Danio rerio: one gene and its partners. The protein of the gene in region 3 interacts with the protein of the main gene of each other region in a pairwise test. Links are inferred from orthologs where the notes say so. Each region holds a gene or a part of one and is shown on either strand. Other genes may lie near its edges.

The links.
Region 1: the proteins of arl6ip1 (region 3) and snx10b interact in binary tests that used the Homo sapiens proteins (3 or more experiments, as listed by UniProt). The two-hybrid records come from large-scale screens. The link is inferred for Danio rerio from reciprocal best matches to the Homo sapiens genes ARL6IP1 and SNX10.
Region 2: the proteins of arl6ip1 (region 3) and inpp5ka interact in binary tests that used the Homo sapiens proteins (3 or more experiments, as listed by UniProt). The link is inferred for Danio rerio from reciprocal best matches to the Homo sapiens genes ARL6IP1 and INPP5K.

Annotation. Positions count from the first base shown.
Region 1 is NC_133191.1:22,386,739-22,391,181, reverse strand, and holds the start of snx10b (sorting nexin-10B), read left to right. Parts: upstream 1-1,603; 5' UTR 1,604-1,682; coding exon 1,683-1,775; intron 1,776-1,854; coding exon 1,855-1,955; intron 1,956-2,612; coding exon 2,613-2,714; intron 2,715-3,276; exon of another isoform or gene 3,277-3,823; intron 3,824-4,120; coding exon 4,121-4,337; 3' UTR 4,338-4,443. UniProt on the Homo sapiens protein: Probable phosphoinositide-binding protein involved in protein sorting and membrane trafficking in endosomes. Plays a role in cilium biogenesis through regulation of the transport and the localization of proteins to the cilium.
Region 2 is NC_133190.1:36,476,818-36,480,472, forward strand, and holds part of inpp5ka (inositol polyphosphate 5-phosphatase Ka), read left to right. Parts: intron 1-2,561; coding exon 2,562-2,645; intron 2,646-2,722; coding exon 2,723-2,827; intron 2,828-3,655. UniProt on the Homo sapiens protein: Inositol 5-phosphatase which acts on inositol 1,4,5-trisphosphate, inositol 1,3,4,5-tetrakisphosphate, phosphatidylinositol 4,5-bisphosphate and phosphatidylinositol 3,4,5-trisphosphate.
Region 3 is NC_133178.1:29,894,284-29,897,938, reverse strand, and holds part of arl6ip1 (ADP-ribosylation factor-like protein 6-interacting protein 1), read left to right. Parts: intron 1-1,098; coding exon 1,099-1,216; intron 1,217-2,060; coding exon 2,061-2,145; intron 2,146-3,655. UniProt on the Homo sapiens protein: Positively regulates SLC1A1/EAAC1-mediated glutamate transport by increasing its affinity for glutamate in a PKC activity-dependent manner.

The DNA of each region.
Region 1 (4,443 bases), on a different chromosome or scaffold from region 3:
CCAACGAAAAATGAAATGTTGCTATTTTGCTAAAATCTAAAAACATTTGAGTGAGCTGCCTAATCTGACTCTATGATCTAAGCTAAGCAATGCTAAAAATGCTCTTATTAGACCCGGAGATTAGGAGAGCCATGTAATAATATAACTTAGCAGTCAGATTCTGCAAACAAAAGATGTTTTTTGTTTTTTAATAATAACTTAACAGATTATGTTTTTGGAATAGTTTTTAAAACTGTATTGTAACAATAAACAGCTAAGCATCTGCTTTAAAGGAACACTTCAAGTTTTTTGAAAATAGCCTCATGGAAGCACTTTTAGCTTAGCTTAGCTTAGCATAGATCATTAAAATAGATTACACCGTTTAGCTTTTTTTGTAATAACAGACGGATACTCATAACACTGTGCAGAAAATGTCACAAATCAAAGATTTGATGTTAAATCTTTAGCCCTGCTCACTCATAAAGCACTGTGGATTACATTTTTGTGAGTTTCTCTCTGAATATATTTAAAACCAAAAATTTAAATGTCCTTGTCCTTTGCATTTCTTCAGTTGAGCCATTTGCAATACTTCATGGTATTGTGACTTTTCTTTTTTGAATCCACACTTTCCAATTTTCATGGAAATTTTTTGCTTCAAATCAAAGTTTTAAATATTGTAATTCACCTCATATCTGGTTGGTGCGTTTCGTGTCTTCTAATGCTTTAAAGCCTTTTAACAAATCCTTATGGGCAAAATATTTCCTGAACCAGCATTTATGTGCATCATTATAGTTTTGTTCTTGGTGTAAACAGGCCATTTTAAAAGTTATACTGTGATAAATCCTTTGATCTGTGAGCGAGTATTGTGACTCATAAATCGGTAGATTTGCACAAAACTAATTCTAGAATGTAGCCTGTACAATCACACTTTATTTGTGACATTTTTATTTTTGGTCAGTTTCACTTTCATAACAGCAGTATGATTAGGCCATTTACTGTAGGCTGAGGTTTTGCTGAAGTCCTTTGTCTTGCTGTTTCACTTTTCTAAGTTCCTTTTTTCTGTAAAGATCACTGTAACATTAAATCTCTAGGTGCTTTAAATAAACATAGACTTACCTCAGAAGTGTTGTGATCGTTCTTATTAACATGAAAATTTGCAGTCATCAGTAAAAGTGTTTTAAAATCAAATAACTCTAATTATCGTTGGTATATTATAAAATAAAGTCAGTTCCTAGTAGATTGTTCTTTTAAAAATCATAATGCTCATAAATATAGTTTATAATAGCCATTTTGTTTTTATTTTAAGAGGTTTGAAACCACTACAGGTACATGAATAACTCTTTAAGTACTGCTATGGTTGTTTTAAACACGCAGGCATTATGATTATGAGACCCATTTTTTCCAGCTGCTTTTTCCTGCTCCTTTTATTTTTATGGTGCAGCTAGTCTGCTGTGTCTCTAGTGGCTGGTAAAAATGAAGCACCGCTGTCAGTCACAGGCACAAAATGAGCTGTGATGTTTTTCCCAAGTCTACAGTTATCATGAATCAGCCCCAGTTGGTCAACAAGACCAATGTCTCATGAAAATACTTCCTACTTTATTCTTCCCCATTTTTTATCTCAAAGCTTGCTGTTGTGTGTCACTGTCCAATAAAAGTTAGTGAGTGAGTGTATTCGTTTGCTCTTTTCCATAATTCTTGGACTTATGCAGGAATTCACTGGCGTTTGGGTGAGGGATCCTCGCATCCAGAAGGAAGATTTCTGGCATGCCTTCATGGATTATGAAGTTTGTATACATGTAAGTGCAGTCGTATGCAAATGGTTAAAACAAAAGTCAGATGCTTCCTGGTTGTTATTTGTATTTTGTATTTGCTTAGACAAACAGCTTGGCGTTCACTAAGAAGAGCTCCTGTGTGCGGCGGAGATTCAGCGAGTTTGTGTGGTTAAGAAAAAAGCTACAGGAAAATGCCTTGCTCATGTATGTAGCCGTTGCATCTGCTCTTGCTATTTATATCTTTTATTACTAATGGTTATTCATATGTAGGCAAGACTTCAATACATGTGAGAGTATCTGCATACTTATTTTATTAATATTATTATACTTTTAATTTGAAAGAATATATTGAGAATGTATGAATTTGAAAAAAAATCAATTATAATAAATGTTATATATATATATAATTTTTATATATTAATGATTTAATAGATTTTTTTAAATTAAATTAATACAGACAAATCCCCAGACCTTGTGTGTGGAAGTCATTGGTTATAGTTGAATTACATTTCCAATGTAGTTTTTTAAAAAAAATAATAGATACTTTTAATCAAGTAATAATTTTACGGAGTTATTTTATTACTATTTTAATATTTAACATTATGTTTACTTAGTCTATTTCAATTACTTGCCAACACTTTTGTTAGTTTGTAAGGATTTGCACATTTAGGTTTTCCATCTAATATTTTTATATTTGTTTTATTTAATTTTTAGTATAATCCTCAAACATATATTCAATAGTTTTGGCTAACAATATCAACACTGCTAATTGTTAAGCAGCTGTACTGTAGACATTTTAAAATTTCTGTCATTGGGCAATTTCCATTGACTCAAACTTAACCTTTTGTATTTGAATTGCAGAACACATATACCTAAACTTCCTCCAAAAAACCCCTTCTTCAGTCTCAACAATGCAAAAGAAATTGGAGCCCGTATGGAGGGGTTAAGGAAATTCCTAGAAGCGTAAGTGTCTGAATAACCACACACACACACACACACACACACACACACACACACACACAAAACATTAAATAAAAACAAAACCATGACTCACAATCAAGGGTGGATTAAGTGATTTTGGGGCCCTTAGCAGTTCCAGCCATGGAACCAACAGTCCTAAAATGCACCCTTTTTAGTTTTATTCATTTTTATTTATTTCAAGAATTCACACTTAGCTGATGATTGATTATAAACAAGTTTGGCATGCTTACCCAATAAAGAGCCCTGAGCTCAAAAGGTCCTTGAGCCCTGGGCTCCCTCCTGTTTGCAGGGCGCAAGGGGAGCTCTGAGCTCAGGTAGCTGATCTCTGGAGAACTCCCCCCTTGATGACAGAAAAGGATTGCTATGGAGAGATATGCTACTGCATGGGAGTTTGACTGTAGTGCTAAATTTAGATTGATCAATGAACTTGTAGTGCATGTTTTTGGAATGTTGTAGGAAACCAGAGAACCCGGGGGCAACCCACGCAAGCACGGAAAGAACAAGCTAACTTCACACAGAAACGACAGCCAGCCTGTTAAAGAACTAGAACCGGTGACTTTCTTCCTGTGAGGCAACAGTGTTAATCACTGGGCCACCGTGCCACCTTATGAAGAGAAAGGTGGAGGAGTGGGGATGGAATGGGGGATTCTTCAAATCGAAGATGACTGTAGTGAGAAACCCTGTCTCTTTAGAGTGGGTTAGGATTTGTTTGATTGGTGGATCAAACATTGTTAAAGCAGAACCAGCCGTGTTCAATCATAAACACGTGATCCTCTCGAAATTTGTTTATAAATAAACTTCACTTATTTTGCAGGGTTTTTTATATCACGGAATCTCCTTTTTCATGTTTTATCTCAATGAAATCTCTACATTTTAAGTGATTTGTGTTGTTTACGTGAACTCACATCTAAAAAAAATAAATGAATAAATTGAAAATAATAAATATTTTTTAAACAATTGAATCTCTACCTGACTTGACTGCTGGACTGCTCCATGATTGGGACAAATTTGCATAGATTGTATAATTATGGTAAAATGTAAATTCTAAGACCCTCACAATACAAAATATGATAGAAAACAATGCTATTTGTATAATTTATACTTCTTGGTATTTGTTGGTCCCCTCAAATTTCCTGAGGCCCTAAGTGGCTGCTTACTTTGCTTATTGGTTAAATCTGCCCCTGCTCACAATCACTTTTGATGTCTTGAGCATTTGCTTGTTTTTCCATATGATCTTGTAAGACTTTTCTGATAAAAGAATGAATAAATAAAAATCAAACTTTTTGGTACAAATGAGATTTTACAAGTCTATTTAACAATCCACTAATAACTAAAGTAACTGAAATGGTTATGGTTTGATTAATCAGTAAAATGTTTACTTCTTCCAGGGTGGTTCACAGTGCGGTTCTGCTGTCAGACAGTTGCTTGCACCTCTTCCTACAGTCCCAACTAAGTCTGAAAAAAATTGAGGCCTGTGCTGAAGGCAGGACTCGCTACACTGTATCCGAGGCCATTCACAGTTTCAGTTCTGGACACAAACGCTTTGATTCACTGTGTGAAGAGAACATGGAAGAAGAGCAATGTGTGCAATGTGAATCAGAGTGATTATTTTTGGACAATAAAATGGAGTCAACGCACATTATGCTTTTAGATATAAAAATACAACCTCTGTCACTGTTGTTATGCCTTTTTAAAAAGATAGTTTGTACTG
Region 2 (3,655 bases), on a different chromosome or scaffold from region 3:
TGGGTAAACTTTACTGAGCTCAGTAAATTGGAGAGTACAACTAGTAAATTTTTTCTTGAAAATGAAAAAATGAAAAAAAAAATAACGATAGTCTTATCAAGACTTTCAGAATAAGGAAAAAAATGTGTGAGACTGATAATTGCAACATTAAATTTACTGTCCTGTCAAGACACTGCATTAGTAATGCTTCGCATAAGCGGTAATTTAATGCAAAGGTACTATAATACATACATAATGACATATAAACATACATGCGTTTAAAAAAAATCTAAATATTAAAAACTTTCTAGGGTTTAAGATGCTGATGACTATTATGCACATCTTAACAATCTTGTGAAATGGGTCATATTTAAAACCACACCCCATTTAACCTGAGCTCCGCCCCTACTCAATAATCAGTTTCAGTTAAAAGTACATTTGTATCAGCTTGCATCCGAAATCACCTACTACTCGGGTAGGTACTACATTTGAATTTACTACACGACTGCTAGAAAAGTACTTTCTATATAGTATGAATGTGAGGATGAATTGAATTCTGACATACTTCCATTTGTCTTTATCATGTGACCTACCCAGTTGCGCGGCTTTACTCTTATTCATGAATTCTCTCACATTTTATCATGGGATAGCATACTGTCCATTGGATGCACACTTCAGAATCGTGCCCATAGTAGTAGATCATCCACGCACTTCTCGCCTACTGTTTTTTGAATATTATGAATTTTAATATACAACTCGGCTCGCATAGTGTTTTTAGCGTACTATTTAGTAGCAAAGTATGCAATTTCAGACACAGCCACTGAAATAAGTCTCAGCAACTGCAAAAACAATTCGTTTTTCCTATTCGTTTTTCCTTTAGAGATTTTAAAAGGTTTTTTATTAAAGTGTTATTGACCTTGTTCTGCAATGCAGTGCGCCCGTTTTTGCAATTGTTTCAGAACTCTGATTCAGTAACATTTAGTGGAAATGACTAGGCATAATAAACGGCTTGTTTTACAAACAAGTGTTTTTATGACTATACATAAAAAGAAGAAGAACATAATAAGAAAATCTTAGTTTGCAACATTAAGCAGCATAACAAGCTCTTTTTAACATGTAAAAACCAATGCTAGTGAATGAGACTGCAAGTGTCGAGCCAAAAAGATTCCAATGGCTGCCCCCGCTCATCTATAAAGAATAAGGCCAGTAAACCATAATCCAAACCAACCAGCCGAGATCAAATCGAAACATTGGGTGTTGTAATTCAAGCAAAAAAGTATATAGAAAACAAACAAAAATATGAAGGTACAATAATGTGTACATAATGGTTTAAGGGAAGTTTGTTTATAAACTTATTTCGAGAGGATCACGTGCTTATGATTTATCACGGCCGGTCTCGTATTAGCTAATCATTATCTTCCAATCATATGAGCCCTAAGCTACTATAAGAACCACAGTTTTCAGTCCACTTTATCTTCGTTTGGAAGAAACCCCCCTTCCTCCCCAAATCTCCTCCTTTACCATTGATCGGGTGGCACGGCGGCCCAGTGGTTAGCACTGAAAGCCCCACAGCAAGAACACTACCGGCCTAATTTCGCCTAGCCGGTGGGCGCTTCTATGAGGAGTTTGTATGTTCTCCCCGTGTTCCCGTGGGTTTTTCCCGGGTTCTCCGGTTTCCTCCCACCGTCTAAAGATATACATCATGCTGAAGAATCAAGCACTCTTTTAGCCCCCCTTCTCAAGTATTCCCTTAGCTATCGCAGCCGGGGAGTTCTGAGATCCACCGAGCTCAGGCTCCCCTCTAGCTCTGCGAATGGGGGGAAGCCCCGGGCTCGAGGATCCCTTGAGTTCGGGGCTCTCTCCCGGGAAAGCATGCCAAACAAGCTTTGATGGATCATCAGCTAAGTGTGAACTCTTAAAATGGGGGAAAAAATACAATCCTACAAAGCATTGCAGATGATACATTTGAATTAAAAATGACTGAGAAACATAAAACTAATCATTGAATGTGGATTATTGTATAAGTATAAAACGTATTTCAAGTTTATTGTAAAAATATTCTTATGTAATATGCATATGCAGCATTCACTTAATGCAGTGGGCTGAGCTAAAGATGTCTTTTGGCAGGCTTTGTTTGCTATTATTCTTTGATCGGTAGAGCATCTGTACAGCATAATTGAGTTACAGTAATTACTGTACTGTAATTGAGTTTTTCTGCATAAATTGCTATTAAAACACATTGTTATAAAAAGTATAATTAAAGGCACAGTATGTCATTTTAGCTGCTAGAGAGCTCATTCACAACAAACAAAAATGTAGTTTGATGTTGCTGTGAGTGTGGAATCATGGGAGTTGTGGTCTTAATTACATATTGTGCCTTCACAAGTTCAACAAAAGTGTATTCAATTGATTAACAACCACTGGCAGAACTCACAACAAGTCTGCTTTTAAAGTTTCATCATTTTCTGTAAAAAAAATATATATATATATTGTGAAAACGCAAATCTGAACCTGACTGCTGCTCTTGTGAAATGAGCTTTATCCAGGATTTTTGTAATACAGACCCGTTTGTCACCTCACAGGTTGGGTTTAAGAGTGTTTCCGACTACATCACGTATGCATGGGTAAAAGATGACCAGGTGTCTTTCAATGAGGAGCTCTTTCAGGTTTGCAAAATTTACTGTCTGTGTTTTTTAATATAATCAACAGAGTCGATTCATATATTGCATTGTCATTTTTACAGGTTTATATGAACAAAGATGAAATTCCAGTTCTTGGGGGCGAGTGTGTGCTGTGTTATTACAGCAGCAACCTGCAGTGTATTGTGGGTATTAGTCAACCTTTCAAGGTAAGCAACACGTCAGTTTTGCGTATTTATCAAACATCAAAATAATAAAAGTGTAATACAGCATTTGTGCATATAGAAATTGAATTATTTATTATTGTAATTTCTTGGAAGTAAACAATCATCATTCTCGTACTTAACTGTGAATTTAAAAATTGGAGTTCGATTTAAGATTTTTTTGCCACAAAGTGAGAGTAAAGCCCCAGTCAGATCACACGATTTTTATTGTCGGTTACGAAAGTCACTATGTCAGATTATGCATTTTTGTCTAGATAAAATCTTGACTTGTCGTAGGTTCCTTCACGATCAGTCATCCCGTGACGTCTACGAGCTTCATAAGCTATCAAAGTGTTGCTATAACAATATTTCCTATCTCAATTTTGATTTTTTTTTAATCTTATTTCAACCTCAGTAAACACTGATGCTTGCTGACAATTAGGCTACATTATTTAAGGTAATTTGTTATGACATTGATACGATCAAACGTATATTTCCTTTTTAATATTAAAATATTTTCATTTAAATCGAAATGTATATTTTCCAGCCATGGGTTGCTTATAAAACAAACATGGAGAAAATGAAAGCACATCAGCACAGAGGAAAAATCAGATGCTTAAAATAATGACATAATATAAAATTTGCAATTATATGACAGAGCTTTGTGATACAACAATTACAGTGGAGCATTAATTAAATCCTTATTTTCCACGGGGCAGAACACATCATCACTGCACAGTTGAGTAGCATAGTGAACAGGCACAAACAAAAGTTATAATTTGTATATTTTTCTTGGGAAAAAAAATGAATTGAAACAAATTTCGTTTGGTATAA
Region 3 (3,655 bases):
TTAAATGTACCCTTATGAAACCTGCAGAAACCTTGCATGCAATATTGTCACAACATTGCGCAAGCTGATATTATCTTGTATGCCACTCATTTTGCAGTATATTGTTATTATTCTTTATAAACTGCGTTATTATTGAATGAGCTACATTTTAACAACATACAAAAAATAGTTATTGTTTAAAAAGCATATACCTTGCTGAATAGGTGTTTATTTTGAAAAACTATTTACTTAAAAAAGTGATGTATAGTTGGAATGTTTGTAGCGTGAATGGAATTTGGATCCACTGTTTGATATCTTGTTACTGTCACATGATTTACCAGCAACCATTGTTTCACTTAACTGCCATTCATAAACTCTTACCCTTGGCCTCGTGGCATAATGAAGCGTCCATCAGATGAGCACTGCAGAATCTCAGTGGAAGTAATGGGTCTTCTCTGTGCTTTTTGTTGAATCTTTTATGAGTACTGAGAGTTCGGACATTTTACATGTTGTTGGAAACCATTTTTCCCCTACTATGTGTTCTATGAAGAAACAATTTCTCCCAACCCCCAACAACAAAAATTGAAATGTCTTGTTGTTTAAGATGCAATGAAATGCTTTGAAATGTGCATTTTTTAATTCAGTGTTTGGTGCAATCACAACTGAAACATGAAGACAGGGTTTGAAATAGTAGCTCTTTCCCTTGAAAAACAAAACAAAACAACCAATAGTGTTTCATTTTGTTCTGCCAGTGAAAGCGGTTGAGCTCAACCTCATCAAATGAGTCGAGAAGGGGGTGGGTCATGTCAGATACTGGAGAGCATTTGACTGGACAAAAGATTTGATGTAAAACCTGAAGTATGCAGTAGTCAAGTTTGGAAATCTGGGCATAACTTCTAAATGTAAACTTTGTCACTGTTTTGGAGCACATTAGCTTATAGATATTCTTAAAGCTAACATACGGATACTAACATCTAAAAAAATAAACTTTTAATTTCGCAAAACATTTATTACTTGCTATTGTGGTGGTTAAATGTATTTTAGATATTGTAATTAATTAGTTCTAGTTTGGGGAGGGTTTTGAGGAGTCTAATTATCTATTTTTTTGTTCCTGCACAGGACCACAGAACAGCAGCAGCGTTTTCATGAGATCTGTGGAAACCTTGTGAAGACTCAGCGCCGTGTGCTCGGCTGGTGGAAACGTCTGTTTGCCCTGAAGGAAGAAAAGCCAAAAATGGTATTCTGCTTTGACTTGTTAAACACCTTCATTGTTTTATGTCTAAAGAACTCACTAGTGACTAATACCACTCCCTGCGAGCTGCATTTTTTACACCACTGAATCTGTTTTATCACTGTTGCTCAGCAGTTGAAATAAACAAATGTAACGCAGACCTAATTCATAGCTTATACATAATTAATAATTTTGCCCTTAAGAGAACATATTTAAGGGCTTTGTCATTGTTGATGTCACAATATACATAGATTAAATGGTATTAATGAGAGCAGATGTGTAAGCAGCAGCCCTCATTATCTCTTATATATTCTTAAAACATTCACAAGCAAGCAAATGAACAAAAGATTTTTTAGATTTAAAGTTAATGGTGATCAAAAGTGAAAATGCATTTTCTAATATTACAAAACCATTGTTTCAAATGAAGGCTGTTCTTTTGAAGTTTGTTTACTAAAGACTCGTGTATCTGTTTCCAGGTGTGGTGTAGTAAATGAGGATTCAGCTTTATCACACAGATCATTTTAAAATGTCAAATGAAATGTTTTTTTTGTTACTGTAAAATGTTACCGTAATGCTGCATTTACTCTCTTTGTGTACGAATCAATATAACTTTTATTAAATGAGACTTCCAGAAAGTACCTCTCTTTGGGGTTTTATGCTGTTAATTGCTATGCTAAGAGCTTGACTTGGCTTGTGAATGTGAATTTATCACTTGACTTTATGAAAAGACTTAACTTTATGATAATACACACTTTTATGAGCTGGATGACAGAAGTAGGCAACTGAGAACTTGATGTCATTGTGAAAGTTTGGTCTTCCTCCATGTAACACTTGTTTTACTTCTCTGTAGTATTTCCTCTCTGTGATCAGCAGTCTTGTGGCTGTGGCCTGGATTGGACAACAAGTTCATAACCTCTTCCTCACCTACCTGATAGGTATGCTGTTTCGTAAAAACAATGCAAGTCTGTTACAGCAATGCATTGCTTATGTCCAGCTTGTTGCATTGCAAAAAAATAATTATTATTGTTTATTTATAATTATTAGATTTTAAGCTAGCAGAATATGTAATTATTTATGAATCTGACACAACTGTGCAAACTGTAGAAAAGTCATTGACCTCTTATCAAAGCTAGACACGTGCAAACACACTAGGCTGCGCAACAAAGAGGTCATTGTACTTGGCTCATGGAAATTCACAATTTCTATCCAGAAATATGTGCTGCCTCTTGCCCTCCCTGCAAACAGGATTTATTAAATCTCCCTGTACCAATTGGGGGAAACATTCAAGTGAGCTGAAGTCATTTTCCATTTGTTTTAAATCCTATTTATATTTTATCCTCGTTTGCCCTGCTTGCTTGTTTGTTAAAAAGAAAATAATCTTAAGACACTACGCTAGCCTAAACAAGAGTCTCTCTGCATCTATATATCGCTGGTTTCATGATGATTGGCATGATGGTGAGGTAAATGTAAATAAGTGTAAAAATGTGTTGCCTCTAAAAGGGTTAGTTCACCCAAAAAATAATACTTCTGTCATTTTACTCACCATTTACTTGTTTCAAAACTATTTGTTTCTTCTGTTTGAACACAAAGAAATGTAATGTATATTTTGAAGAATGCTGGTAGCTGTAATTTTTTTTTTTCCTTTAAGTAACTTACCCAATGCTGTTTTTTTACCAAGGATCCTTAGCCTCAGCCTTTATTTACACAATCAATGCATGCATGATAAAGTATTGAGTAATTAAGTAAATTTAAGTTTTTTGAAATTCGATATGCAAAAAGACATCTGATACTCATTTGATACATTTTATTGTATCTCGTATGCAAATATAATCTTAACTATAGTTAATGTTTCATATAGTTTCATGGCTGCTGCATGGAGGGCGCCATAGCGACCAGCGTCTTCCGGTAAAATGCTAAAAACTTCCGCTTACAGCGAGTACAACTGGTAATTTGCGCTCCGAAAATGAGTTTCAATGACGTTTTTAATGGATAACTGTTTTTGTGACACACAACTTAGAAATGTGTCTGTTAAAGCCGTTATAATTTGTCACATGTGGTTCAAGCGCGTCAGAAATACGAGAAAAACGTTCTGCTAGTTCACGTGTCTGCCGTCAGAAATACTGTGTGTGTATTTCTGTGTGACACACACACACACACACACACACACAGAGAGGCCCCGAACACCATTCATAAATTTAAAAGAGTGAAGGGTGCCAACAACCAGCATTCTCCAAAAGATCTTCTGTTGTGTTCAACAGAGGAAACTCTGTTTTAAACCACATTAGGAAGTCAATAATGTGGTCATTTTCATTTTTAGTGATCTATCCATTTTAAGAAAAAAGTAAAATGATGATAATACAAAATAGTGCAGTTTGAAACGAGCTTTTTTTGTCATTGTGATCAAGTAGTTAACGCTAAATACAGTCAAATGCTGTCTAAAACTAT